Oryzias latipes: one gene and its partners. The protein of the gene in region 7 purifies or fractionates together with the protein of the main gene of each other region. This does not show direct contact. Links are inferred from orthologs where the notes say so. Each region holds a gene or a part of one and is shown on either strand. Other genes may lie near its edges. The genes, in order: nup50, actb, ruvbl2, ppp1r12a, erbin, zinc finger FYVE domain-containing protein 16-like and ppp1cc.

The links.
Region 1: the proteins of ppp1cc (region 7) and nup50 purify together in Homo sapiens (affinity purification with mass spectrometry; 3 studies listed by BioGRID and IntAct, with this or other methods). This does not show direct contact. The link is inferred for Oryzias latipes from reciprocal best matches to the Homo sapiens genes PPP1CC and NUP50.
Region 2: the proteins of ppp1cc (region 7) and actb purify together in Homo sapiens (affinity purification with mass spectrometry; 3 studies listed by BioGRID and IntAct, with this or other methods). This does not show direct contact. The link is inferred for Oryzias latipes from reciprocal best matches to the Homo sapiens genes PPP1CC and ACTB.
Region 3: the proteins of ppp1cc (region 7) and ruvbl2 purify together in Homo sapiens (affinity purification with mass spectrometry; 3 studies listed by BioGRID and IntAct, with this or other methods). This does not show direct contact. The link is inferred for Oryzias latipes from reciprocal best matches to the Homo sapiens genes PPP1CC and RUVBL2.
Region 4: the proteins of ppp1cc (region 7) and ppp1r12a purify together in Homo sapiens (affinity purification with western blotting; 3 studies listed by BioGRID, with this or other methods). This does not show direct contact. The link is inferred for Oryzias latipes from reciprocal best matches to the Homo sapiens genes PPP1CC and PPP1R12A.
Region 5: the proteins of ppp1cc (region 7) and erbin purify together in Homo sapiens (affinity purification with mass spectrometry; 6 studies listed by BioGRID and IntAct, counting the BioPlex papers as one, with this or other methods). This does not show direct contact. The link is inferred for Oryzias latipes from reciprocal best matches to the Homo sapiens genes PPP1CC and ERBIN.
Region 6: the proteins of ppp1cc (region 7) and zinc finger FYVE domain-containing protein 16-like purify together in Homo sapiens (affinity purification with mass spectrometry; 3 studies listed by BioGRID and IntAct, counting the BioPlex papers as one, with this or other methods). This does not show direct contact. The link is inferred for Oryzias latipes from reciprocal best matches to the Homo sapiens genes PPP1CC and ZFYVE16.

The regions. Positions count from the first base shown.
Region 1 is NC_019881.2:23,772,923-23,777,048, forward strand, and holds the start of nup50 (nuclear pore complex protein Nup50), read right to left. Parts: upstream 2,801-4,126; 5' UTR 2,395-2,800; exon of another isoform or gene 905-2,394; intron 846-904; exon of another isoform or gene 425-845; 5' UTR 392-424; coding exon 323-391; intron 249-322; coding exon 165-248; intron 95-164; coding exon 1-94. UniProt on the Homo sapiens protein: Component of the nuclear pore complex that has a direct role in nuclear protein import. Actively displaces NLSs from importin-alpha, and facilitates disassembly of the importin-alpha:beta-cargo complex and importin recycling.
Region 2 is NC_019866.2:19,166,587-19,170,875, reverse strand, and holds the start of actb (actin, cytoplasmic 1), read right to left. Parts: upstream 2,801-4,289; 5' UTR 2,732-2,800; intron 1,596-2,731; 5' UTR 1,589-1,595; coding exon 1,466-1,588; intron 1,374-1,465; coding exon 1,134-1,373; intron 807-1,133; coding exon 368-806; intron 297-367; coding exon 115-296; intron 32-114; coding exon 1-31. UniProt on the Homo sapiens protein: Actin is a highly conserved protein that polymerizes to produce filaments that form cross-linked networks in the cytoplasm of cells.
Region 3 is NC_019872.2:21,687,052-21,690,631, forward strand, and holds the end of ruvbl2 (ruvB-like 2), read right to left. Parts: intron 2,346-3,580; coding exon 2,127-2,345; intron 2,050-2,126; coding exon 1,931-2,049; intron 1,761-1,930; coding exon 1,641-1,760; intron 1,560-1,640; coding exon 1,430-1,559; intron 1,316-1,429; coding exon 1,201-1,315; intron 661-1,200; coding exon 635-660; 3' UTR 501-634; downstream 1-500. UniProt on the Homo sapiens protein: Possesses single-stranded DNA-stimulated ATPase and ATP-dependent DNA helicase (5' to 3') activity; hexamerization is thought to be critical for ATP hydrolysis and adjacent subunits in the ring-like structure contribute to the ATPase activity.
Region 4 is NC_019881.2:19,284,020-19,287,519, reverse strand, and holds part of ppp1r12a (protein phosphatase 1 regulatory subunit 12A), read right to left. Parts: intron 3,483-3,500; coding exon 3,408-3,482; intron 3,332-3,407; coding exon 3,240-3,331; intron 3,161-3,239; coding exon 3,003-3,160; intron 1,932-3,002; coding exon 1,810-1,931; intron 1-1,809. UniProt on the Homo sapiens protein: Key regulator of protein phosphatase 1C (PPP1C). Mediates binding to myosin. As part of the PPP1C complex, involved in dephosphorylation of PLK1. Capable of inhibiting HIF1AN-dependent suppression of HIF1A activity.
Region 5 is NC_019870.2:4,453,781-4,457,280, forward strand, and holds part of erbin (erbin), read right to left. Parts: intron 1,932-3,500; coding exon 1,868-1,931; intron 1,692-1,867; coding exon 1,617-1,691; intron 1-1,616. UniProt on the Homo sapiens protein: Acts as an adapter for the receptor ERBB2, in epithelia. By binding the unphosphorylated 'Tyr-1248' of receptor ERBB2, it may contribute to stabilize this unphosphorylated state.
Region 6 is NC_019870.2:1,728,565-1,732,064, forward strand, and holds the end of zinc finger FYVE domain-containing protein 16-like, read left to right. Parts: intron 1-467; coding exon 468-626; 3' UTR 627-3,302; downstream 3,303-3,500.
Region 7 is NC_019867.2:25,505,867-25,509,962, forward strand, and holds the start of ppp1cc (serine/threonine-protein phosphatase PP1-gamma catalytic subunit), read right to left. Parts: upstream 2,801-4,096; 5' UTR 2,479-2,800; coding exon 2,424-2,478; intron 1,792-2,423; coding exon 1,660-1,791; intron 954-1,659; coding exon 723-953; intron 542-722; coding exon 437-541; intron 186-436; coding exon 1-185. UniProt on the Homo sapiens protein: Protein phosphatase that associates with over 200 regulatory proteins to form highly specific holoenzymes which dephosphorylate hundreds of biological targets.

The DNA of each region.
Region 1 (4,126 bases), on a different chromosome or scaffold from region 7:
CTGCGTTACCAAAGCCAGGGGCGGTGGGCTTGGTGGAGGCTGACGCAGAGAACGCAAAGCCCCTGAAGCCTTTGAAAGCTCCTCCCACATCAGCCTGGAGGTAGAAAAAAACAGAGTCAGATCCAGTTCAGAAGGACCGGCTCGTCAGGAGGCCCGGTTCTGACCTCTGAGCCCACATTTCTGCGTTTGGCCTTCTTGATGGGCCGACTCTTCAACACGTCCTCGCTGGCCAGGCAGAAGGTCCCGGCCTGCAGAAGAGCAGCGGCGGCGTTACAGACCAGAACATCCATCACCCTCCTCACCCCCCTCCTCCCCCACTCACCTCCTCCCCCTCCTCCTCCTGATCCCAGTTCCTGTCAGTCAGTTCTTTGTCCGCGATCCTTTTGGCCATCGCAGCAGCGTCAGAACACAAACGCCCGGGAGTCTGTGAAGGCAGCGCGGATGTTTGATCAGAATGCAGACCCTCGCACAATACCTGAATGTGGGCGGGGCTTCAGAGAAACTGACCCTGGGCTGACTATACTGCATCTTTGGTTTGGTTTGCATAACATTACAGATCTTTGGCACAGCGAGTAGCAGGCCAGGTACCAGGCCAGGAACCAGGCCAGGGACAGGTACCAGACCAGGTACCAGACAAGGAACCAGGCTAAGCAGGTATCAGGCCAGGAACAAGACCAGGGACCAGGTACCAGGCCAGGAACCAGGCCAGGGACAGGTACCAGACCAGGTACCAGACAAGGAACCAGGCTAAGCAGGTATCAGGCCAGGAACAAGACCAGGAACCAGGTACCAGACAAGGAACCAGGCTAAGCAGGTATCAGGCCAGGAACAAGACCAGGAACCAGGTACCAGACAAGGAACCAGGCTAAGCAGGTATCAGGCCAGGAACAAGACCAGGAACCAGGCCAGGGACCAGACCAGGTAACAGACAAGGAACCAGGCTAAGCAGGTTTCAGGCCAGGAACAAGACCAGGAACCAGGCCAGGGACCAGGTACCAGACAAGGAACCAGGCTAAGCAGGTATCAGGCCAGGAACAAGACCAGGAACCAGGCCAGGGACAGGTACCAGACCAAGTACCAGACAAGGAACCAGGCTAAGCAGGTATCAGGCCAGGAACAAGACCAGGGACCAGACCAGGTAACAGACAAGGAACCAGGCTAAGCAGATTTCAGGCCAGGAACCAGGCCAGGGACCAGGTACCAGACAAGGAACCACGCTAACCAGGTATCAGGCCAGGAACAAGACCAGGGACCAAGGAACCAGGCTAAGCAGGCATCAGGCCAGGAACCAGGTACCAGACAAGGAACCAGGCTAAGCAGGTATCAGACCAGGGACCAAGTTAAGCAGCTACCAGGCCAGGAACCAGGCCAGGGACCAGGTACTAGACCAGGTACCAGACAAGGAACCAGGCTAAGCAGGTATCAGACCAGGGACCAAGTTAAGCAGCCACCAGGCCAGGAAAAAGACCAGGAACCAGGCCAGGTACCAGACCAGGGACCAGGCCAGTGACCAGGTACCAGACAAGGGACCAGGTACCAGGCTAAGCAGGTATCAGGCCAGGAACAAGACCAGGAACCAGGCCAGGGACAGGTACCAGACCAAGTACCAGACAAGGAACCAGGCTAAGCAGGTATCAGGCCAGGAACAAGACCAGGGACCAGGTACCAGACCAGGTACCAGACCAAGTACCAGACAAGGAACCAGGCTAAGCAGGTATCAGGCCAGGAACAAGACCAGGAACCAGGCCAGGGACCAGGTACCAGACAAGGAACTAGGCTAAGCAGGTATCAGGCCAGGAACAAGACCAGGGACCAGGTACCAGACCAGGTACCAGACAAGGAACCAGGCTAAGCAGGTATCAGGCCAGGAACCAGGTACCAGACCAGGTACCAGGCCAGTGACCAGGTACCAGACCAGGGACCAGGCCAGGAACCAGACAAGGCCAGGAACAAGACCAGGGACCAGGTACCAGACCAGGTACCAGACAAGGAACCAGGTTAAGCAGATACCAGGCCAGGAAGAACCAAGTCAGGTACCACCACGCGGGCGGTCATATCAACAACCCAGTTTCGGACCAGAACATGAAAACGGATCTTCAGATAATCAGTCTACTCATGAGATCCGGTTTTCATTTTCCGACCGGATCATCCACCAGGTGGTTCTGCAACGGTCCAGATTCTGGAGCGACTTCCTGCTGAGCTTCGGGTTCGGTCCGAATCCTCACAGTCTGGCGGGTTTTGTGGTGTCACTATGGTAACAAAATCCGGGCGGTTCTTCTGTTCGGTTCCTCCGGTTGGATTGCCTCACTTCGCTTTGCCGCTGGCCGCTCCCGTTACTTTAACCGGTTACAGTTATAGAGGCAGGATATTTGGTTTACTCACCGTGCTGGTTACCTTTGGCCGAAGTCTCCAAACCGGACCGGAACCCGTTCCGTCGCTTAACCGTTTCCCGCTGAGAAGCTAACCGGGCCGCGCGACAGCTCCTGACGTCACGGCTAGCGCTCAGTGGCGGTCTTTGGTCTCGGTCACCCGAGACCCGAACTCTGTCTGTGAGCGACTTTCCGCCCGGTCTCGGTTCTACAGACCGACCAGAACCGCAGATTCTCGATCGCCTTCAAATCTTGACTCACTCAGTGATTTTGAAAAAGCTTCCTCACGCGGCCATTTTGCACAACGGTACATCCGCGTGGGTGCACGCGCCCCACCTCTCTGCTCATGCGCAGAGTAAAGAGCCTATAGCTGGGATTTGTAGTCGGGTAGAGTATTTATTTATCTCGTTTTTATCCTCCTGAGAACCGAGGAAAAAAAGTGTCTTCCAATTTTTGTTTTTGTGTGATTTCCTTTCTATTTGGGCTTAAAAAAACACCTTACAATTTTAATTTTTAAAAAAATATTTTTTATTTTAATTTCCCAACACGTCCACTGTAGAGGACAACAGGACAACATTTCTGTGAAAATAGAACTCGGGTAGGAAAATCAGAAAAAAGGAGCAGATTAAATCTTTAGAGTGATACTCACCCAAAAAACATTAAATTTTGTTCTAAAACAATAAAACTCTATATCACTTTATTGTTACTTGTTGGACCTTCTGCTACAGAGGAAGATCGACCGGTAAATTGAGAGCTTTGCTTTCTGGCTCAGCTCTCTCCTCACCACAACGGACGCTGCTCCGATCCACCTGTCAATCTCACGCTCCGGTCTTCCCCCGCTCATGGACAAGACCCCAAGATATTTAAACTTCTCCACCTGGGGCAGGGACACTCTACCCACCGAGAGACGGCAAACTACCTTTCTTCGGTTAAGAACCATGGCCTCAGATTTAGCGTTGCTGACCCTCATCCCAGCCGCTTCACACTCGGCCGCAATCCCCCCCCAATGCATGCTGGAGGTCCCGGTTCGATGAAGCCAACAGGACAACATCATCTGCAAAAAGCAGAGAGGAAATCCTGTGGTCTCCAAACCAGACCCCCTCCAGCCCCTGGCTGTGCCCTAGAAATTCTGTCCATAAAAACTATGAACAGAACCGGTGATAAAGAGCAGACCTGCCAGAGTCCAACATGCACCGGGAACAGGTTTGACTCACTGCCGGCTATGCGAACCAAGCTCTTGCTCCGGTCATGCAGAGACCGGACACCCCTCAGTAAGGCTCCCCGGACCCCATAATCCCAGACCACCCTCCACAGGATATGGGGGACGCGGTCGAACAGCTTCTCCAAATCCACATAACACATATGGACTGGATGAGTGAACTCCCGCAATCCCTCCAGCACCCTAGGTTAGGGTGTAGAGCTGCTCCACTGTTCCACGACCAGGACGGAAACCGAACTGTTGTTCCTGGATCTGAGGTTCGACTATGGGACGGACTCTCCTCCCCAGTACCCTGGCATAGACTTTCCCAGGGAGGCTGAGGAGTGTGATTCCCCGGTAGTTGGAACAAAACTAGATCAAAAACAGATCTTCAAAAATGTTATCAATGTACTGTGAAAAGTACAGGATTGAACTCCGGTATTCACAAACTTTGGGGTCATCTTGATAGGCAGGGCGCCCTGCTAGCACAGGTGTAAACCTGTTATGATGGACGTTTAAAAAAAACAAAAAAAAAAATCAAGTTAATTATAAAAACAAG
Region 2 (4,289 bases), on a different chromosome or scaffold from region 7:
CAGAGTATTTACGCTCTGGTGGGGCAATGATCTGTAGGGAGAGGAGGAGAGTTGAGAATGAGCCCCTTTTCCCCAAAGGAACAATCCAGACGGGAGACTCTTCAGAAAGCTCACCTTGATCTTCATGGTGGATGGGGCCAGGGCTGTGATCTCCTTCTGCATTCTGTCTGCGATTCCAGGGTACATGGTGGTACCTCCAGACAGCACAGTGTTGGCGTACAGATCCTTACGGATATCAACATCACACTTCATGATGCTGTTGTAGGTGGTCTCATGGATACCGCAGGACTCCATACCTGGAAGGAGATTAAATATTAGCATGGGGCACTCTGGGGTCTGTACACAAGTCTTTGGTTGAGGTACCTACCAAGGAAGGAAGGCTGGAAGAGGGCCTCTGGGCAACGGAACCTCTCATTGCCAATGGTGATGACCTGTCCGTCAGGCAGCTCATAGCTCTTCTCCAGGGAGGAAGAGGAGGCAGCGGTGCCCATCTCCTGCTCGAAGTCCAGGGCGACGTAGCACAGCTTCTCCTTGATGTCACGGACAATTTCCCTCTCGGCTGTGGTGGTGAAGGAGTAGCCACGCTCCGTCAGGATCTTCATGAGGTAGTCTGTAAGGTCGCGGCCGGCCAAGTCCAGACGCAGGATGGCGTGGGGCAGAGCGTAGCCCTCGTAGATGGGCACTGTGTGGGTCACACCATCACCAGAGTCCATGACGATACCAGTGGTACGACCAGAGGCATACAGGGACAGCACAGCCTGGATGGCAACGTACATGGCAGGGCTGTTGAAGGTCTCAAACATGATCTGCAGAGACAAAAAGCACAATGTTAGCATGTTACAAAGCAGCAATGCGACCACTCCACTCGCTACATGCATTAAAGTGGGGCTCGATCTATAGTTAGTACATGGTAAACATTCCTTCACACTTGTGCATGTCATTTTTAGGTGCTGATCTGTTACTCTAAGCCTCAAAACACAAGTGCAGATACAAGGCAAACTGTCAATAGACCTTTTGATGAAAGCTCATCTTATAGGAAGAAATCCTAGAAGAGGAGGATGGAGGAAGTATGAACAGAAGGAAACCAAGGTGAAAAGAGTATACATGTGCTCCACTGTGAGGTAAACGGGTACCTGGGTCATCTTCTCCCTGTTGGCTTTGGGGTTCAGGGGGGCTTCAGTGAGCAGGACAGGGTGCTCCTCAGGGGCAATTCTCAGCTCATTGTAGAAGGTGTGGTGCCAGATCTTCTCCATGTCATCCCAGTTGGTAACAATACCGTGCTCAATGGGATACTTCAGGGTCAGGATACCCCTCTTGCTCTGGGCTTCATCACCTACGTAGCTGTCTTTCTGGCCCATACCCACCATGACACCCTGAAAAAAAGTTTAAATTTACATTTAGTAAATCTGGAAACTTTTAAAATTAAATAGTAAAAAATTATAAAGGTAAACAGTTAGGAACTAACCTGGTGCCTGGGGCGACCAACGATGGAGGGAAAGACAGCACGAGGGGCATCGTCTCCAGCGAATCCGGCTTTGCACATGCCAGATCCGTTGTCAACAACCAGTGCGGCAATGTCATCATCCATGGCTAAACTGGAAAACAAACAAATAAGGCGTTAACACCAAAGACACGCCCATCTGCATCTGCTTTGCAGTCAGATGTCCCATTTCCTGTCAGGGAGCGGCAGTTCCCCAAAGTGTCCGCTTGGTGGAGGTAGAGCGCTACATTCCGAGCCCAGACAAAAGGAAGTGGTGCTGCATTCTCTTGTTACCATATAAGGACATAGTTCGGTTTTGAGCAGCTTTGCGGCTACCGGCAAGGCACGCGGCCAAAGTACAGCAAGAGGGGAGGGACTTTAGACTATCGGACCCGGCGACGAAAGCCTACTCCCACTGGTTCATTACAGCTCTACTTTGTCAGCGTTCCCTCCCATTGTTGCACAAGACTGAAAAATTTCTTAATCACTGCGTCATAATTTGTGCGAAGTCGTTGCTGGCATAAAGCACCACGACCCGTCAAGCTTTAGAAGGAAATTAAAACGTGTGCGAGCCCATGACTGATTAATCATTTCCTGAAAGCCACGCCTTTTCTTGAATGAATGATTTGTCATTTGCCCTTTTCTTCGCCGTCAAACTACAGTTACATGCTCAATTTAATCGAATACTTTTAAAATGCTTTAAGGGTTATTACATTTTATACAAACAAATGTATAACAGTCCCACCCCCCTACATGTGAGGAATCAGAGTCAAGTCTAGAAGGGCGTGTTAGCATGAAGCTAGGCTAATATGCTAAAGTAGGTCACACCCCGTAACGGCGCACAAAGGGACCCGCCAGGATCCAGACACCCTCAACTCGGACGGGTAACGTCCGTAGAAGGACTCGAAAAATTCCCCCCACCATGTAAGATACGAATAGTAATTTTTATTTAGTTGCTTATATAAAATATACAATTAAAACCAAACTGAAAAGCCATTTGCCGGTTACAATCAATTGGCACCTGTGCGTTTAAGTGGCTAATTTTGGTACAACTTGATTGATGCCAAAACAAACAAAATTGTCAATTTTAAAAAGATAATTAAAAGTTTAACCATTTCAGGCCTAAAAATAAATTTAGTGGCCACAAAATTCTGCTAATGGTCACCTCCAATTAAGAATTAAACTGCACAATTAAACAATCGTAAGGTTTCCAAAACATTTGAATTAAACCAAATATCGTCTCTATCTTACCTTTGGGTGGGGGGCTTTTCGTTTCAAGGGAATCGGTTTCAGGCGAATGATATCCCGCACAAGCTGTGTGTGACGGCGCTCAGAGTGAATTTGCTAGCCGTGGGCACGTGGTATTTATAGTCCGTCCGTTGCCCGGCTCTTTCCATAAAAGGTAAACTTTCGGAATCGCGGCATGTGATTGGTCCAGCGTCACTCACTGGGGCACGTCGGGTGCACGCTGTGGTGCACTGAGCGTAGAAAGAGGGAGGCGATAACAGTAACGGGCTGGGGGAAAATAAAAGGATAGGGATTGATGTGAGGCCTAATCTAAGGATATAATGTTTCTTGAACAAATATTAATACATATAGAGTTTACAAAGTTTCAAATATATATAAAATATGAACCTGTATAAAGCTTTCGAGCAAGTCCCCCTGCTTATCTGATCATTCAAACAGCAGAGCACAGGCTGCTCCTCCCTGTGAATACTTTTCCTCTTAAAACCTGTCTCTCAAGATTTCAGTCTGGAAATGCAAGATATGTTTGATGCAATTTGAGGACAATTACAATGTGGATGTTGCTGCACACTCTGGAAAGCAGAATGCCACCTCAGATGGAGTCAGAGACCCTCCAAGCCAAACACATGACTCACAAAAGACACTATGGACTGTAAAAGTGCCCTGTCAGAGGATGGACAATAACCACTTTTCCCACTAAGCAATGGTAAAAACTCAATCTCACTAATACCAATTGACCATGTATGGCATTAGTCTGGATTCTTGTTAACTTCTCAGAGCTCTTGCTACTTCCTCTTTCCCCTACAAATGAAGAAAAAAGGTCCACATAAGAGGACACTAAGGCTGACTTGCATCTACTTTTAGTCATAAATGACCTATTGAGTGAAAATAACCACTGTCAGACCCAACCCATACGCTACTATACATTCACCTTAATCGATTAAACTCAGAGAGAGACAAATAAAGTCACACATGCTCTTATTTCCTCTCTGTGGTTTACTGCAAAGGGTGTAACTTTCCTGACTTTGGGTTTTATAGGCTTAGGGTTCTTTGCTTTTACCTTACTTGTCTTCCATTCATTAGTTTCACAGTTTATTTAAACTTTTTTTGCTCCAGAAACATAGCTGCCCATACAAGTTAAATAACCCAGAGGCCATTTAAACATGTCACTGTCTGCGAGACACAAGCAGCAACTACTTTTCTTCCTCTTGTACCACTTCCTCTTCCTCGCTCTCAGTTACACCAATTCTTTTATGCTAAATGCCATCTCCTCTTCCTTCAATTCATTCGTGGCTTTAAGTTTTAAATGGTCTTTATTTTCATCAACACATTTCCACTTTATACATGGAAACGTTTCAGCTTTTTAATCAAGTTTCAAACAAAACATGCTTCATTTCCTTCTGAATTAGCAGATTCTTGCATTTCTGATCAGCAGACCTAACTTTTAAATGTCCATTTTTGTTTTGTTTTATTAACCCGCTGAAATAAAAGCTTCTGCTTGTGGGGTGAAACAGTTCTCTCTCGAGAGTTGTATGTAAATAATTCTTTATGTAAGAGTTTTAAA
Region 3 (3,580 bases), on a different chromosome or scaffold from region 7:
TTTCAGGTGAAACTCAAACACTTCTGAAGTTTTCCACTTGTGTTCAAAAGCTTTTTTTTATGAAAAAAAGTGCACATTAAACAAATAATTGTAATTCATAATCCATTTCAAAAGCCACACCATGCGAAACATAGATAAAAAAAAGAACAACTGTCATAAATTACATCATAATTCTAACCCACGTTTGCTAAGGTGCGTCATTGTACTCGGAAACACATGTAACCGTAAAGGTTTGGTCTCAGTGTTCAGACTAAAATCACAAATAAAACCTTGGAGAGAATTAGAAACCAATGAGACATTAAAAATACCGAGTATGACTACAAAAGTCCGTTTAATTGTTCAAAAATAACAAGCAGTGACAAATCAAAACAAAGAACAAACCACAGGAATGGGTTTCCTGGCTTAAAGGCCTCATTGATTAACACAGTTACGGTAAATCCACAATTTCTGTGATTTTATGACAAATTCCTGAATACAACACCAAATGAGTAGCAAACCAATGGAAACATGTAGGACTTTAATGAATTCATATTTCATCTCTACTTCAGGTAATCACTTGACTCAAAGTGGGGATTCAGTCCTAAACTGCTTGAATCTAGGAGAGAAGAAGCAGAGAAGCTGAGCTGTGTTTTCGTTATGAAGTATCCATGACGGCCGTTTCTGCAACACAAAAACACGCTCAATGTACTTTTCGTCCTTCAATATTTTAGGGAGAGTATAAAAGTTATCATTGCAAATGCAAAAAGGGGGCAGTTAAAGGCCCATTCTGATAAAATGTGTGTTCTTGTGGCATTCTTCTGATGATATAGAGGCTTAAATAAAGAAAATGAAGAATACAAATTGTATTTCTGATTACTTTTTTATTCAAATTGTTGTGAATCAGAAGGACATAAAAAAAAAAGAGCGTATCTGAGGTAGAAAATATGCTGAGCGAGAGACAAGCTCCCTGCTCTCAGCAACGGGACGGGAAGAGGGGGCGGAGTTGCTGCGCACCAACAGTCCCATCCACAACTCAAAGGTGAAATTCTAATGAGCTACTGCGAGCGACGCAGCAGAAACTATGTCTAGAGAACGACAGGTTTTTTGATTTTGGCAAAAAACAGCAACATCATAATTAAAAAGAACACTGGGATCGGAGTGGGACTTTGAGAAATTCAAAAGTGTTGAGATTTGGTTTTTGTTTTTAAACTTGAAACTTACGTGTTTCGTTAAAGAGGAAGGAATCCTGGTACTCCTTCATGTACTGAGAGGACCTGGCCTCATCCAGGAACAGAGAGTAAACGCGTTTGATGTCCTCCACCTGAACTTCTGTCCCCTGAAGCAGCACAAACAAAAAGATCCCTCCGTGATGAAAACAGTCACATGTTCTCATTTACCAAAACACCAGAAAACAGTGATGCTGAGAGCATCTTCTTGTAGTGGAGCTTACTTTGCGCTTGCGACACACCAGCCCTGCAGTGCTGATCAGCTGGATGGCGTAACGCAGCGACGTCTCCATGCCGATTCGAGTGAGCACCGTGTGCGCTTCCTCACTTAGCTCCACATCCTCCTCCTCACACCTGAAACACCGGGAAGTGGATGTGAGTGATGCTGAAAACAGGAGCAGGGTTCGGTGGCGGGAAGCAAACCCGCGCTCCCACCTGATCTTGAGGATCTGCCTGGTCTCTTTTTCGGTGTACGGGGACGTGGCGATGATGAGCAGCCGGTCCAGGAGGTCAATGGGGATGCCGTGAGGACTCTGATAGTTTGTGCCACGAATTCTGTGGGAAAACGTACGAAAATAAAACAAAGAATGTTTTTGTGGGGGGGAGAAAAAAAAAATCAAAGATTATAAAACAACTTTTAAATTTTAGAGCATTAGTTTTGAAGGACGCGTAAGCCATACACATCAAAGGAAACAGCTGAAGTGAATCAGCAGCATGAACAGTACCGAGTGATGCCTCTGTTGGTGGCCATGATGAGGACTGGAGACAGGTCGCTCTCCAGGGCTCGGTTCAGGAAGGAGAAGCACTCCATGTCCAGCATATGCACCTCGTCAATAAATAACACCTGGAGCCGCACGCATGCACACACAGTTACCCTCAACCAAACACAAAAAGGATCCCAAAATGCAGGCGGCGGCGTACCCCTGGAATGATCTCCGCCTTGCCTTCTTCCCTCCACTCACACACTTTGGCATTGATCTGCTCTCGGACTTCCGACTTGATTTCTCCGGTGTCTCCGGAGAACAGAGCCAGGAAGCCTTGTGTGCGGCTGTTGATGACGTCGATCTCATGGAGGGACACTGTGTGCACCACCTCCTTCCTCTTCTGCAGCTCTCCTTCAGGACACTGGACAAACTGAGTCTGCAAGCAGAGGAAATGGACAGCAGTTACAGCTGATGCGGTTTAAGGATCAGCTGACGGTTCTCAAGAGAAAATCACTAGATCATCTTTTACCCTCAATTGTAATTGATTAAATTCTTTAGTTTTTGTTTTGTTTTTTCAAATTAGTGTCAGTAAAACGCAAAACTGGCTGGAATATCAACACCAACAACAAATATAAAACAAATACCATTCTCGTAATGAAACCGCATTTAGTGAATTTTGAAATTTAAGTGCATCCCCTAAACATATTTGAAGATCCACTCTAATGAAAACCCTGTTTTTTTTGTTTTTTATTTTGTTCTTGGGAGATTTTTCTCTTGATGGAGGAAACTTATCAAGAAAATTACAATTCTGACTATTTCTTTATTCAAATTGTTGTGAACCAGGAGCAGATCCTGTTTGAAAATGTTCCCATTTATGACGTAGAAACTACAATCGGCAGTTACAGGCTCCCTGCTCCGCTCCATTCTGATGCATCCGCCTGCAGACAAAGAGATCCATGAATGTCTTTGTTTTCCTCGTCTGAGCTGGAATCTGGATCTAAACTGTACGGCTGGATAGAACTAACATTGCTCGCCATTTTTGTGGCAGCAGTAATGTTAGGTTGGGGTTGTGAGGGGCTGTAAGCTAGTGGGAGAGTGTAAAAACAGAGCTCTCAGCAACAGGGACGGGAAGGTTGTTTCGCGCCGACAAATCAGAGGCAAATGTCTAATGAACTCCTGCATTGGAAACTATGTCACAGCTTCAACCCCACCTGCTTTTGCAGAACAAGACGTCACTGCTCCCTGTGTTCCATCCCTCCACCTTATTACGCCGTGTCTGCTGTCAGATTTTGTTTAGTGTCCTTCTTTGAGTTGCAGTCATTGCTGTTTGCAAAGACAAACATCTGCTACTGACCAAGTTTGTGGTCCATTAAATCTTTTTATTTTTTATTATATATTACTCATTTGTGGTTCATTTGACAGAGTGAAACTTAAAGCTTAAATGACAGAATCCACGTTTTTTTTTTTCATTTCAAGTCTTCATTATTTGAGACACTTTTTCATTTGAGCAGAAAGGATTCTCGGGATAAACAATATTCAGATAAGTTTTATGCAAATCAATGTCATCATAACCCAAGATTTTGAGATTAACCAGTTCTGAAGTTACATTTTCAAGTACAGTGTTCCCTCATTTACCGCTGGGGTTACGTTCTAAAAATAACCCACGATAGG
Region 4 (3,500 bases), on a different chromosome or scaffold from region 7:
TTTAACGGAGGCATTTCAAAAAATTAGGGGGGAAAAAAGCTTAAAGACCAAGCAGATACCGACTCAAAGATTCAATTAAAGCGTTTTAGTGGTGGGATTATGCAAGTTAACCTCTTCCCACTGCTTTTCAAGCAATTAATTGACTAATTTCACATTTAATGGGTTCAATGTGTCATATGCAGAAAATACTAAGGATTAGGAGTCTTTATGATGAGATCATGTGTGTGTATTAGTGCAGAGACAGATTTCTACTTTGCATCATTTTAGTGAATTATTTTATGCTTTACCATGAAGTGTGTATGTTGTTTTTTACACGTTTGTTGTGCAATGTCTTTCTTTTAGTTTTTAAAACTCAGTAATGTTTTTCTGTGAGCACTTTGAGTAACACGAGTTGGAAAAGTGCTGTAAAAATTCAGTGGATCTAGTTTCCAATCAAATCATAATTAATGTGCATCTCTTTTGTTTGATTTCCTTAGTACTTCCTGTTTCTGATTGCTTGAAATAAAGCAATTCCAAAAATTCTGAATGTAGAAATTAACCATCCACGGTTCCTTATTGACATTTCACTTTTTAACTTTTTAATGCTTTTAATTTTGCTTCAAGGAGGCCTAAATGAGGTAAGAATTATTGGGTTCAAAGTGAATGAAAATCAGATTGTAAATTTAAAAATGCAACTTGAAGTTTTAAAAGACATTTTAAACTCATAAGCAAACATTATAATCTTGAAATAAATATAAAACAATTGAAAAAAATGAAGTAAATGTTAAAAGAAAAATTTTTTAATTTGTAGAAATACTGAAGACCTGGTTTAAATATTAATATTACCAAAGAAATAAAAGATCTTCCAACAACGGCAGAAATGGCATCATCATAACCCCCCCCCCCCCCCCCCACAAAAAAAAGGCTGAATTGAAACTGTGAATTGAGGACTGAAAGCGAAAAGTGAGAGAAACAAAATAATATTTCAAAATACAAAACAGCAGCTGTTACAAGGAAACTTTTTTACATTTTGTAACAGTAAATTTAGAATTAGCAAACATTTCCTAAAAAGAGAAAGACTATTATTTGATTTTGACTGGAGCATTCGCTTGCATATTCATTGGCCAGCAGAGGGCAGCAAACTCCAGTCTATTTTTCAGCTACTCTTAATTTAGAACCTAATTTAATAAATAATATTAATTAATAATTCATTTATCCCACAACGGGAAATTGACCCCGTCCGCTGGGAGGAGCATGGTGAGCTGCAGCTAAACCACGCTCCGGAGGCAGTAGCGTCTTGCCCAACGACCCCCACTGGGTGGTGTTAATTGCTCGCCATTGGTAATTGCCTGCACCATTGTTTATTCCCCTCCAGGAATCGAACCCTGGATTCCTGCTCGGCAGCCTTCCACCTTACCAACCGAGCTACCCAGCCGCCAATTTATGGACCTCAATCATCCGGAAGTTACCTGAAGTCCCCTCCTCCTCCAATCGGGAGACAGTTTTGCTAAAACTGGGATTCTACAGACGTTTGTTTGGTCAACAGCAGAATAATAAAATGCGTCAACTTCATTTCAACGAGTTGGGTTGCCATAAGGACACAAGAACAAAAACGTTTGCAGTGATGAGGCAAAGATGCAAGGACAACACAACAGTCATAACAGGAAGTCCAGTTCTGACTTTAACAGGTCAAAGACCCGTATCAGATCTCGGCTTCACCGAGGTGAGCCACTTCCTCAAAGGGCTTTTCACAGCAAGCAGCTGTTGGGTTTTCTGTAAGCTTTTTAGAAGCAGGCGTGGAGGAAAAAAAAGCGTTCCAGCAGCTCGTACCTTCTTGGCGGGCGAAGTGGGAGTCGTCACCTGGTTGGTGGGACTCGATGGCGAGGACACGGTGATGCTGGCGGACGTGGGCGCCGTGCTGTTGCTCACCACCGCTGACGGCTTGTTCTTCTCTGGATGGGGAGAAGGACAAGAGAACAAGTGTCTTCCAACAGCAATGCTGGGATTCCCCTCAATATAATTAATAAGTGGTTTAATCCAGGGGGGTCTGCAACCTTCAACACCCAAACAGCCAATCGGTTTGATTTCTTGCTGACAAAGTCTTAGGTCACCCTTTATTAAAATAAAACACAGATTTGTATGTTAATGCTTATTTTATTACATTTGTGCGTTAATGGTACTATTATGATAAATATAAAACAACTTGCATTTTAGGCTAAATAAAAAAAGAGAAAGTTTTCTTGGTAAAAAAAAACTTTCGACAGAGGTTAATATGACATCTTTTCAAAATAAAAGACATCCGGTGCCACATAGGATCATCTCAATTCAGCAAATGTAGTAGTAGGTAGTGTGATGTCAGCAGCAATGACGGTTTACAGTTTGTGGTGCATCTCAGCCAGAAACTCATGTTACTAAATAAAAATAAATAAAAAGCGCAATAAAAGTCCTTGAATTTGTTCCAAAATAGAAAATTGTTTTTTATAATCTGCTGTGCTTTAGGTAGATTGTGCTTACTGATACTCAAAAATCTGTCAAAGTGTTTTAATGCCACTACGATTGATGAAGATTATGGCCCCCATAGTCAGGAACCTTGTTGGGTTACTTTACTATACTTGTATTACTTTACTACTTACTTTTTACTTCAAAATTACCTTTTAAACCTATTATTTTCTTTAACCAAAGAGTGAACTGGATCCGGAGCGTCAGGTTGCAGTATAATGAAGGACATTTTAGGACAGAAATACTAGGATGAAGAGGATGCTGTGGCTTAATTTATCCATAAAATGTTTTTTTTTATTGGTCTTAGACTGAAAGCAGACATCTTTGACTATGTTTCTGCACAAATCTAAAGTTTTCTTGATAGCAGTACATGTTTGGTTTCATTTGTCTCTTGTTTTGCCAAATTTTTTTCTTTCATGGTGCAGTTTTGGTCTTCCATACTGTTGGGCAAAACGTCCTACTTCTGTCGCTCTTGGGTTGCGTGTACGATTCTGTGCTTTTATTCTTTACAAATAAAAGAATACCTGGCTCTGTCTCGGACTCTGAATCTTCATCCTCCTCCTCTTCACTGGAGCAGCTCGATTCGTCCTTCTTCCCCTCTTCCTCCTCGTCCACTTTCTCCGGCTCCAGGGTCTCGATGCACGGAGCGCTTTTCTCCGGCTCCAGCAGCAGCGTTTCCTTGCTATGGAACACATTAGCGCGCGTTAGCACGTTGCAGCCAAAGCTAAACGTTTCCGCTCCTCCGCCGCTCCCTTGGCTACCTCTTTAGTGGTTTCAGCGATTGGTTGTTGTCCCCTGTTGTGGTCGTTTCAATCAAAGGAGATTTCTTCACGTCTTTCTTCTCGCTCATCAGCTGGAATCACAGAACGGCAAGATATTTTCAAACAAATCTTGTCGTTTGATTAAAATACTGAAGAGCACTGACTCACAAGAGTCTGCTTCTTTTGTAGTTCTTCCAAGTATCCCAGAATATCTTCATCTGCCACATCAAAAGCAGTTTGGCCCTGAAGGGAAGGAAGACA
Region 5 (3,500 bases), on a different chromosome or scaffold from region 7:
AGAAATGCTGGCAGCAGAGCTAATGCGCTGACCCAGATTCAGTATAAGCAGGTGGACTGGATGGAAAAAAAAAGGAACATTTTGATCACATATCATCAGAATAATTACAGCAGATTGATTAAGACAGATATTTTTGGAATGATTTATTGACAGAGTTCAAGCAATTTTGAAAAACAAAGGGAGATAAAAGACAACAATAAAACTACATCGATATATCAAATCCTTTTTCAGATATTAATTAATAAATTGATCTTGACATAAAAATGATCATGATATAATTGTTCTAAATCATATATAGACATATTTGCACTTAATCCATCCATCCATTATTTTAATCAGCTTTATCACTTTTGTGGTTGGGGAACCCGTCCCAGCTACTGTTGGGCGAAGACGGGGTGTATAAATATATTTAGAATCCCACCTCTATTTTGATCTGTCTAGCCTTTTTCTGCTGTTATTTGGTTGCCATAAACCATTTAACATGTGTTAGAAGTTAATAAAGACCTACTCCAAAGAAAATTGAGTTTTTAACCTGTGCTTGCACATTTTTCTAACATTGGAGGACATATTTAAAGAAAATTAAGCCTAAAATTGCATTTTAGGTAGCTGCTGCTACCTTTTGCTGTGGCTGGCTGTATTTGAAACGCCAACTTGTCATCCAGAGATCCTTTTTCGCTGTTCCGACCAAAAGCCTGAGCAGACTATACACTCAACTGCCCTTTGGGCCAGGTTTTTATTCCGTTCACCTTTTGGATCCAGTTACCTCTACAGCATTGGATGGCGAGCTACCCACTGAACTGCACTGTGGGGTTGTGGAACTTAAATCCACCACTGAACTCTGGCAAAATTAATAACCATACGTCATTCTGGAACTCTAAACAAGAGAAAACAGTTTATCTTGGAAGTTGAACAATAACTGGACTCAACAAAGGGTCTATTTATTTCTTTATTTCAATTTTTTAATACAATCGTTTGTATGTTTTTTACCCAGTGTCTGGCGGCGTGTCCGTTCACACACACCTCTGACTCCTCGAGACTCTTCTGTGTAGTCAAAGCGCCTAGCCTTAGTTTATTTCTATATTCAAACTGTTGTTAATCAGGAGCAGACATAAAAATAAAAAAAAAGCTGTTTGAAAAATAGCGTATTAGAGACGAGGTAAATATGCCGGTTGGGCCACAAGTTCCTTGCTCTAAACTCTTGGCAAAAGGGAGAGGAAGGGGGGGCGGGGTTACAAGACTCCCGCCCACAACTCCGAAATGAATTTCTAAAGAACTCCTGCCGCTCTGCAGAAACGATGTCCTAGAAAACGACACAGGATTTGGGCTGGGAACCCTTTTAAATAGATCATGATTGAAGTGGGTCTTCAATACATTTTCAGTTCAAGTGCAGATTATCTATCAAACAACAAAGATAACGTTCTTGTTCGTTATTATCAAAACATATTACAAATCATATCAATATGCTTATTGATTATCATCAATTTTAAATTTTATTTTAAAAGACTGTTGTTTGTTTTGATGAAGACTGAGGAAAACAAAGTAATGAGAGGTCAAAGAAAATGACCTGAAGATGATTTATTTGAGTCCCTGAAAGTAGGAAAGAGCGTAAATCTCACCGCAGGTAAAACCGTCAGCTTGTTCCCGTCCATCCACAGTTCCTTGATTCCAGACAGGTGCTCCAACACCTCAGGCTAAAAGGCACAGAGGAGACAGAGAGCGCTGAGCGGGGCAACTAACCAAGAGGCTTCGCAAGAAAAAACAAATCTTTTCAACATTCAGGAGAGGAAAAGTAAGCACATTAAAGAGGGATGACAGAAGGTCACCTCAGGAGAGGTGCAGCGCTCTGGGCAGGCGTCCAGATACTCACCACTTCAGTGAACTCATTACTCCCCAGGTCCAGCCTCTCCAGCTGCGTGAGCTTCTGCATGCTCCTGCAGAAACACGAGCAGAAACAGACTTAGAAAAACAAAAAATGAACTTGAGCAACCTGCATTTAAAAAGAATGGAAAACCTTTGGAGAACGATAATGTTTCCCTACTGTGGGGGCGAAAAGCTATGAAAAACAGGCCAGGACAAATCAAGAAAGCCTGTCAGGTTCCATACGTGAACCTCCGGATCCTTCCAGAAAGCATGGATGCACAACATAAATTAATTTGGAGCTGAAGGGTGAGAGAGGGATGCTTTAAATAATGGAATTTTTCAGAATTTTCTCAACATATTTAGGCCACAGGCTCAAAGTTCTCCTCCTTTGGTTTCAGCGGGTTTTTACTGTCAACTTCCCGGGTAACCGAGGACCAAAATCTCAGCTGGGCGACCCAATAGTGAAGGCATGGCACGAGGCGTTGAGCCGCTCTTTCTGACAAACCAGAGATTGACTCAATCCCTGGAGCTGGTTTTTTTATGCCGTCCCTCGTAAAATAATAATAAAAAAAACATCTAAATAGGATTTACAACCTTCTGTGATTTGGAGTAAAAAGTTGGGCGAGAATCAGCCACGCTGGCACGCCGAGAAAGAAAGTGAATTTACCAGAAACCGAACTCCAAGGCATCTGACCTCAAGCTGCGGGGAAAACGGCGGTTCTCTTTAGTCTATGCAACCGCTGCGGGTATGTCTATGTGCTGGGACAAAGAGGGCTTTCCATACGGAGGGCCCTGAAAAGATTTGCCGCACTCCTTTTGTGCGCACACACATTTGTTTACATCTCGGGGATGCTTGTGTGTTGCTCTGGCAACCTTCCCGACCATTAGTCCATCTTTTTGTCAGGGCTCCAGCTTTTAACGGGTCTGGCTTGTGTCACATAAACACGGCGGCAGACGAAAGGGAAATCTTTGAGGGCTCGCTGCCTTCTCAGCGGCAGAAGGAGGGAAATGAAGAAGACGAGGCGAGGACAGCGCGGTTTTAAAGACCCACTCTGATTAAAATTATGTTTTTGTTGTTTTTAACATGTCCTTGTAGCATTTGTCGGCTGATGGAAGACATATTATGAAGAAAATAGAGCAGGAAAAGTCGCACTTCAGGGGGAAATTTATTTTAAAAATACAGGAACCGACATTTCATCTTGAAAGGCAAATCATAATAACAGAAAAGATGACAATTATACACTGCATATGGTAAATGGCAAATACATCTATAGCACTTTTCTACCTTTCTCGAGCGCTGGAACTAACCATCCACCAGATGCAAGGTGGGGGTTCAGCGTCTTGCTCAAGGACACTTCGGCATATGGACGAGCAAGGTGGGAATCGAGCCTGCAACGTTCCTACCGGGGGGGGGGGGTAAGAGCATTGCTACTGCTACTCTGCAAAAACTAAGTCCTGGACAATGACGGGTTTTTGGATTTTGCCTAAAAATGGCAAAATAGTAATGAAAAGACCAGTGGGAAGGGTTTAAAAAATAGATCAAAAGATGCTCGGAGTGGGTCTTTAAAGAGGCATTGAGAGAAGGCATTTGCATCAATGGAAGAACAGAAAAATAAAACCTTCTATAAAAGCACCTGAAG
Region 6 (3,500 bases), on a different chromosome or scaffold from region 7:
TCGTTCCAAACAAAGCAAATAATAAACGAGAAAGTTCCTCTTTTGAACCGGATTGTGGCTCCAGAACCTTCAGTTCTCACAGTTGAAGGTGTCGTTTGCAGATGCTGCAAGGGAACCTGGGAGATTTCTTTTCTCTCCTTGGTTACTCTGAAGCATCACTTTAACAAAAACCAGTGGAGCCGTTACAGCTGCTGACACCATGATGTTGCAGTGGAGTGGTCGGGTTTTGGGTTTTCCCTCTGGGAGACATCTTTACGTCCTCTCTGTGGTCCGTCTGCATTCACACTGAAGTGAACCGTACCAGGAGAACACAGACCCCGGTTCTCCTGGTTGGTCCCAACCAGAGTTCAGGTGAACTTTCCCACCTGCCGATGAAACAAACTCTGCTTTGGATCAAAACCTGCGGCAGGAAACGTCTTGGAGGATCCGTGAAGCCTGATGCTGTCTTTGTGGGGTTTGGCTCTTAGGTGGAGTACCAGGCAGGTTCCGGAGGCAGGCTCCTCCCCCAGCGCTACATGAACGAGATGGACAGCGCTCTGATCCCCGTCATCCATGGAGGCGGAGCCAGCGTTCCCCAGACTGCCATGGACATGGAGTTCGTCTTCTTTGTGACTCACGCCATCTGAGGCAGCTGCAGCGTTATGAAACAAAGAAGGTGGGGCCGCAGACGGGTGGAGCCCCGGCAGCTGCTGTGGGCTCCGGTCTGCATGTCTGCAGTCATGAAAGTGTTTTTGTGGAGCTGACCAAAGTAAAAACACTTCAACTTGTAGCGACCTCTGCCTTCATGGCTCCGCCGGAGCTGCTGAATGTTTCCGCAAACACTCCCAAGAGGAGCCCCCTCCCACAAGGAGGAGCCCCTCCCACAAGGAGGAGCACCTCCCACAAGGAGGAGCACCTCCCACAAGGAGGAGCGTCCTCCCACAAGGAGGAGCGTCCTCCCACAAGGAGGAGCGTCCTCCCCACATGGATGTATTCATTCATTCTGAATGGAGCGACAGCAGAGAAACTGCCGCTTCCTGAAACTGACTCTGCAAAAGACCAAGTGCTTTCAGTCCATGGTCCGGTCCGGTCCAGTCTGGTGTCTGCTCAGGTTTCCCGCAGACATCTTACTGTAAAACTGTTTGTTTTTTCTTTTTTGTAAACCAGGGCCCTAAAACCGCCGCCGTTCGCTCCGTCTGTGTTCCATGAACAATCGGAAACGAGAATCGCAGCTCCAGTCCAGAAATGGCGGCAAAGTGGAGACGAGTATAAAAAACCCATAAATCCAGGAGCAGACGGATCGTTTTAAAACCACAAACCCAGTTTTTATCCACACCAGTTGATCCGTCATTTAACATGTTCAGAGGTTCTGTTTGGCACCATCCACACAAAACTCAGCAAACGTAGAGAATTAAATGATTTAATTCACCTGGAAACACAAAGATGTTCAAAAATCCCAGTACAATTGTACTACAGAAAAATACACCTTTTCTCTCAAGTACTTATCTCTGTTCCTTATTATATGCAAATTATCCAGAGGATGGCTCCACCCACCTCATTTACATATTCAGGTGATTTTTAAGATTTAAAGAACTGAAATGTATTTAAGAAGTTCCAGATGGAAATGTGATTTATTCATGTATTTATGCGTTTTTAAGTCATTTTCCGTCCTTCAAAGCAGAGTCCAGAACACCAGCGCCTCCTCTTCTTCCTCTTCCTCCTCTTCCTCCTGTCAGCTCCTAAAAGCATGAAAACAGGGGAGACAGAGCTTCGCTGTGATGCTGCAAACACTACAAAATCCATAATTGTCTTTCAGTGTTTCTTCTTCTCCAACCAAAAATCCAACTTTGGTGAAGTCTGTGAATGAAAGACAGTTTACACGTTCAAAACCCGTCAAGGCCTCCGGCTTTCCCGCCTTTCATCAGGAATCAAACGCTCTTGTTTTCTGGAAGCACGAGAACAGACCGTTCTGGACGTTTCCAGTGAAAATGTGAAAACAGGGCCCAGCTGATGTGTGGGCGGAGCCTGAACAGGCCACTGTAGCCAACCAATCCCAGGTTTTGAAGGCGGAGCTAAACCTCTGACGCTTGGCGGGCCCCTCTGGAGCGTCTGGCGGTCGATAAACTCTGGTTCGAGTCTGAACAGGGCGATAGGGAGGGGGGCGATAGGGAGGGGGGCGGGGCTCCAGTGATTGTGTCAAAGTTTCTGTGTTTTTTTTTGAATAAATACATATATTGAAGAGTTATTTTTGAAACTATAGACGTGGATAAAAGCTGATATTTTTGATAGGGGTCGGTGAGGTCATGACAGAGATCCGCTGGTTCCTTTGAGGTTCTGGTTGGACCCGCTTTGAGCTGCAGCCTCTCACTTTGAGGGGAATTAAACCATCAACTTCATCAGCAGAGAAAACATTCTTCCAGCTTTTCTAGTTTCTTTTCACAAAACTCTGCAGCCATTTTTGTCAAAGCCTCGGCGTCTTACGTTCTGTGTGGCGACCAGCAGACGGGCAGAACCGGAACCCGTCTGTTTATTGTGGACTGGAGCTGGGGGTCCGACAGAACGACTCCAGGCTGTTTTCATCGGTGTCAGCTTTTCCTCTGGGTTCAGCTCCGTCCGGTTCTTGTCTTCACCGTAACTTCTGTTTTTGGAAAAACAGCTGAAGCTGGACCGGTGCATCGTGGAACCCGATGGTTCAACCCGAATGACTCAAATAAAGAACCGTTCCTTTGAGTCTGTGCCGAGGGGAACGTCAGCAAAATTGTCCTGAAGGAAAACTAAAATACGAGAACCTACAGAAGACGGAGGCGGAGAACCTGTTCTGGAATTGACTAACGTTCAGTGTGACTGAGGTCACGTGACCACGTCACACCAGAGCAACAGCTGAGTTGAACTCAGAAGAAACTCTGTCCTACAAAACGTTCCACCACAAAGCTCGATTCCTTCAAAGTAACCAACAGCTTTCCCCATCATGCAGTGCTTTGAACAGAAGCTGTTGGCGGTTCTCCCCTCAGCTGATGGAGGTTCTACTTAGCGGGGGAAGGTTCTCCTCAGGCCCTGACACTTGAAGAGCGGCTCTTGGAGGTCAGTCGTCGGGTTTTAATGTCAATCCTGCAGGTTAGAACCTTTTTTTTTGTCACTTTGGTCCAGCGGAACCCCTTCTTGGATGTAAATTCAGATCCAGCTTTCTTCTCGATCTCCAGAATGAGAACTTCTTTGATGCTCTGTGATTGTTTTCAAAGCGTTATTTCTATTTATTTTTAACACCAGCTTTATTTTGGCGGCCTGAATGTGTATTTAAGGAAATAAAAGCTTTGATGAAACCCTCCTGTTCTGCCGTCTGTTCTTCATGAGAACCTGAGTTCTGCATCATCCTTTCAAAAGAGACAAAATGCTTCAAAGAGGCTGAAATGAAGGATTTTTGCTCTGAAACTGTGAGGACATCTAAAAACTGTTTTCCCGTCGTTTCCCGGTGAAGCCGTCGTAACCGTCTCACTGTCGGTCTTCAGGCTTTGCCTTTTTGG
Region 7 (4,096 bases):
CAGGAATTTGGCCACCACCTCCGAGCCAAAGGTGAAAGACACCCCCCTGTCATTCTCCCCCCAGCCCAACACATCCTTGTCCGGATCAGACCAAAGCAAATCGCACAGCAGGCCCTGGTCGGGCACGTCAGTGGGGCGCATGATGCGCCTGATTTGCTCCATGGACTGAAGGTCGGGTGAAAGTCCTATATTTAATGACAAAACAAATCACATAAAGCAGCGGATTTGACACCATGTCCTATCACATGCAAGTGAGTCCAAGAAGTAGCTGACAAACTGCATAGGCAGCGTTTCACAATGACAAATGCTGACGTCAATGCTGCGCTACTTTCGACATTCAACTTTGCCACAGTGGGAACGTTGACATTATGTGTAAATATTGTTACAAACATGCAGGGTGTAACCATGCTGCTATGAATAAAACATAAAAACCCACCTCCATGACAGCAAAAGATCTTCTCATCAACAATTGCAGCGATAGGAAGGCAGTTAAAGCAATCGGTGAAAGTCTTCCAGAGTTTGATGTTGTACCTCCTTTTACCTAAAAAGTGACGACAGATGTCTTTGATTATGTAAGAAGGTGTTTTCTAATCCAACATGCAATTAAATGGCCATAAACATCTTTATCAGCCACAGCAACTATGTGTAAAGATCAGGGTTCAGCTGTGCATCAAGGTGCACGTGTCCAAAAGCCTCTCTAAAGTCAATATAAAACCACTCACACTCATCGTAGAAGCCATATATTCTGTTGATTGAAGCACACTCGTGGTTTCCCCTCAGCAGAAAAAAGTTTTCTGGATATTTTATTTTGTAGGCCAGCAGAAGACAGATTGTTTCCAGAGACTGCTTCCCCCTGTCCACGTAGTCACCCAGAAACAGGTAGTTGCTCTCTGGAGGGAAGCCCCCATACTCAAACAGCCTGAGCAGGTCGTAGTATTGCCCATGAATATCACCTGAATGATACAGAATACAGGAAACCAAACTGATGAACACACATTCATTCCTTTGTTAATTAGAAGCACCCCTCCAATCATCTTTTCCGGTTTGGGAAAATGTTCTGTGGTATTTTTAAATTATGATTAAGCCTTTTTTTAAAGCCAAAATCAAACAACCTGTGTTGTTTTCTAGAACATAGTTTCCGCAGGAGTTCATTCTAAATTTGCCTCTTGAGTTGTGGGCAATTCCGAGGATGCTTTCTGAATTGTGGAACTGTTGGTATAGAGTTAGCCCACCCCTACTTCCCATTATCTATGTGTTTACACATTCTCCCGCTAGCTCACAGTCACTCACAACCCCAACATAAAATAACAAAATGGCTAGCAATATTGCAGCTATCCACCATACAGTTTAGAGTCAAATACTAGCTCAGACACAGAAAACAAAGACGAACATAGATCTAGTTATTTGCAAGTGGATACGTTAAAAGAGCGGGGGAACTTGTTGCTTGCTGATGGTAGCACCTACGTCACAGCTACAAGCGTTTTCCAACTGCATTTTTCTTTCTGCTTCTACTATTTCAATAAGGAAATACTCAGAAATGCACATTTTAAGCTTAATTTTGTCAACATATGTCCTCCATCATTAGAAAAAGCCCACAAGAACATGTTAACACAACTTTCATCAGAGTGAGCAATTAAGCCTAATACAAACAAACAATACCACAAATCTTCAAAGGGGCCTCAAGCTCGAGGAGAATGGGTTGACTGAGAAAGATCTCCCTAGATTTGAGGCATAATCCACGGATCTCGTTCTCCTGCAGCTGCACATTCTTGCCGGGCTTTGCTCCTCTGACTGCAAGGAAAAAACACAAACAACAGTCAGGAAAAAAAAAAAAAAGTACAGTTCCTGTCAGGTCAGCAATGCCCTGCACAGTTTGTATTAAGACCGTGACAAAATCACTTAATGTTTAGCAAGCTCTGAATTCAAAATGCTCTTTTTAGTCATTTTATGGTCTTTTACAGCATCTATGGGTGTTGTGTCTTTGACGGTAAATGATACACAGATTTTTTTTTGTGATAACAAAAACACGTCGTACTTTAGTTTCACCAAACCTGAAATGAGATAACATTAAGCCAAAACAACATGAAATGATATGATGGTCTTTTTACAAATAGAAACAGACACTTAAATGACTACTATAAATAAGAACATCTGCAGAGCCTGAACATTACAATCCCGGGGTTGTGCGTTACAGACACCATTTACGCTTTACAACACGGTGATTATAATGCGCTTTTGTGCATTTTTGAAACACCAACAATCTCTGTAAAACAGAATTCAGCTAATTATAAAAAAATACGTATTTATCTTTATGTGTTATCGAGTGCGTAAAAAAAAACCGGCGTCGCTACGCTAGTTGTTTTTTTTTTGTCAGATGTGTAGCACAAACAACCATAAAAGCAAAAAAATGATAATTTCCTTACCTTCTAAAAGCCGTTGGATTATACTATCTATGTTGAGCTTGTCAACATCAGCCATTGCAAGCGCCTGCGTTAAAGTCGTCTCTGTCTAATCTAGATCTTTACGCTAACTCCTGTGAAAGCTAGCCTGCTAGTTACCGTAGAATTAGCTAGCTCGGCTGATTTTCCGGTTCAACCTCAGATATGTTAGTCGGACGCACGCGCGGGGGGGATGAATATATAATATTAAATCCTAATTAGGTTATTTGCACGTCGCAGACGTTAAAAATAATCCCATCCGGCGGCGGGTTTTGTTGAGCGTTCGGGACTTGAAGGAGGACGTCACGGGCTCTAGCTGTTAGCTGGTGATGGTGTCCCGTCTGTTATCTCCTCTGCCGCACCTTCGGAACATAGCTGCCGCGCTGCGTCTGCCCCCTACTGGACGGAACGGGGAACGCAGCGTGAAGGAGCGCGCCAACTTCTCAAAATAATGTTTCACCATTCTGTATAGAACCAACAAGACTTCATTTACTCGTTTCAAAAAGCAGTTTATGACAGCAAAATAAATCACATGTTTTGCTACAATATGGTAATTTGAGGTTTGACGTAATGATTTGCACATTTATACATTTTCTTTTACTCCATTTGAATGTTTATAATAAAAGGGCTTGTTTTACTTTGCTGTTGTACTATAGGTTGATGGAGTTTTTTTCCTCTTTACCCCCTAAAGTAAATAGACTATGTTGATTTTAAGAACTAAACAAGCTAATTTCTGGGATTGTTCTTCAGCTCTGGTTTCATTTTTGATAAAGTGAAAGCAACACATATCAAAATGCTTTAAGAAATATTTTTCTACTTTTATTAGCATCTCATAATAAAACCAGAACCAACTGTTTTTATGGATAGTTAGTGTCACGAATACTATCTATATTTATGTGGAAAGTTTAAATCAGAGATAAAAATGTTATGTAATTTTTTATGTTTATTTGGTCTTTTAAAGGTAATTGTTTTTTTTCCTTTAAACAATAATCAACATTAATAAAAAAAGACTGTGCTGAAGCCTCATGCTTATCAAAGGCCATCCAAAAAAAAAAAAAAAACCTACAATTTTTTGTTTTGTTTTTGTGATTCATTCCCTGACTCTTATGTGATCCAAATCTAAACATATAAGTATTATGTCGATTCATAATTTTGGAGCAAAATAAAAAAATGTATTTAGTAAATACAATAAATTAATAACTATGAGTAAGTTTCTCTTTTCAAATTCAATAGTATTCGGTTTGCTGTTTTAGAAAAAGATGCATCTTATCAGTATATAAATAATCAGTACAGATGCTTGACTGGGATTCATTGTCATTTTAGAGGTCTCTGTCCTTCCCTTTACGAGAAATAACCAGCAAGTCAGTTGAGGGCTTTATACATTTTCTGAAATATGATCCGCATAATTTGAATTTATAACTGTGAAGATATGAAAATATTGTTATAAAAGTACTTTGCCTATTCAAAAAAATATCTAGCAAGCTAGAAATAGCATGAATAATGTGGGGAAAAAATTAATGGTTAACAAAAGTCAGCGACTTCGGAAGCTTCAATTTAAAGGTTTTTGGCACAACTAACTTTAGGTTTGAATTCAAGCTTGACAGTTTAAAAAGGAAGAATGAAAACATTTCCTAGAAGAGTGTGCTTTAAAATGAAAC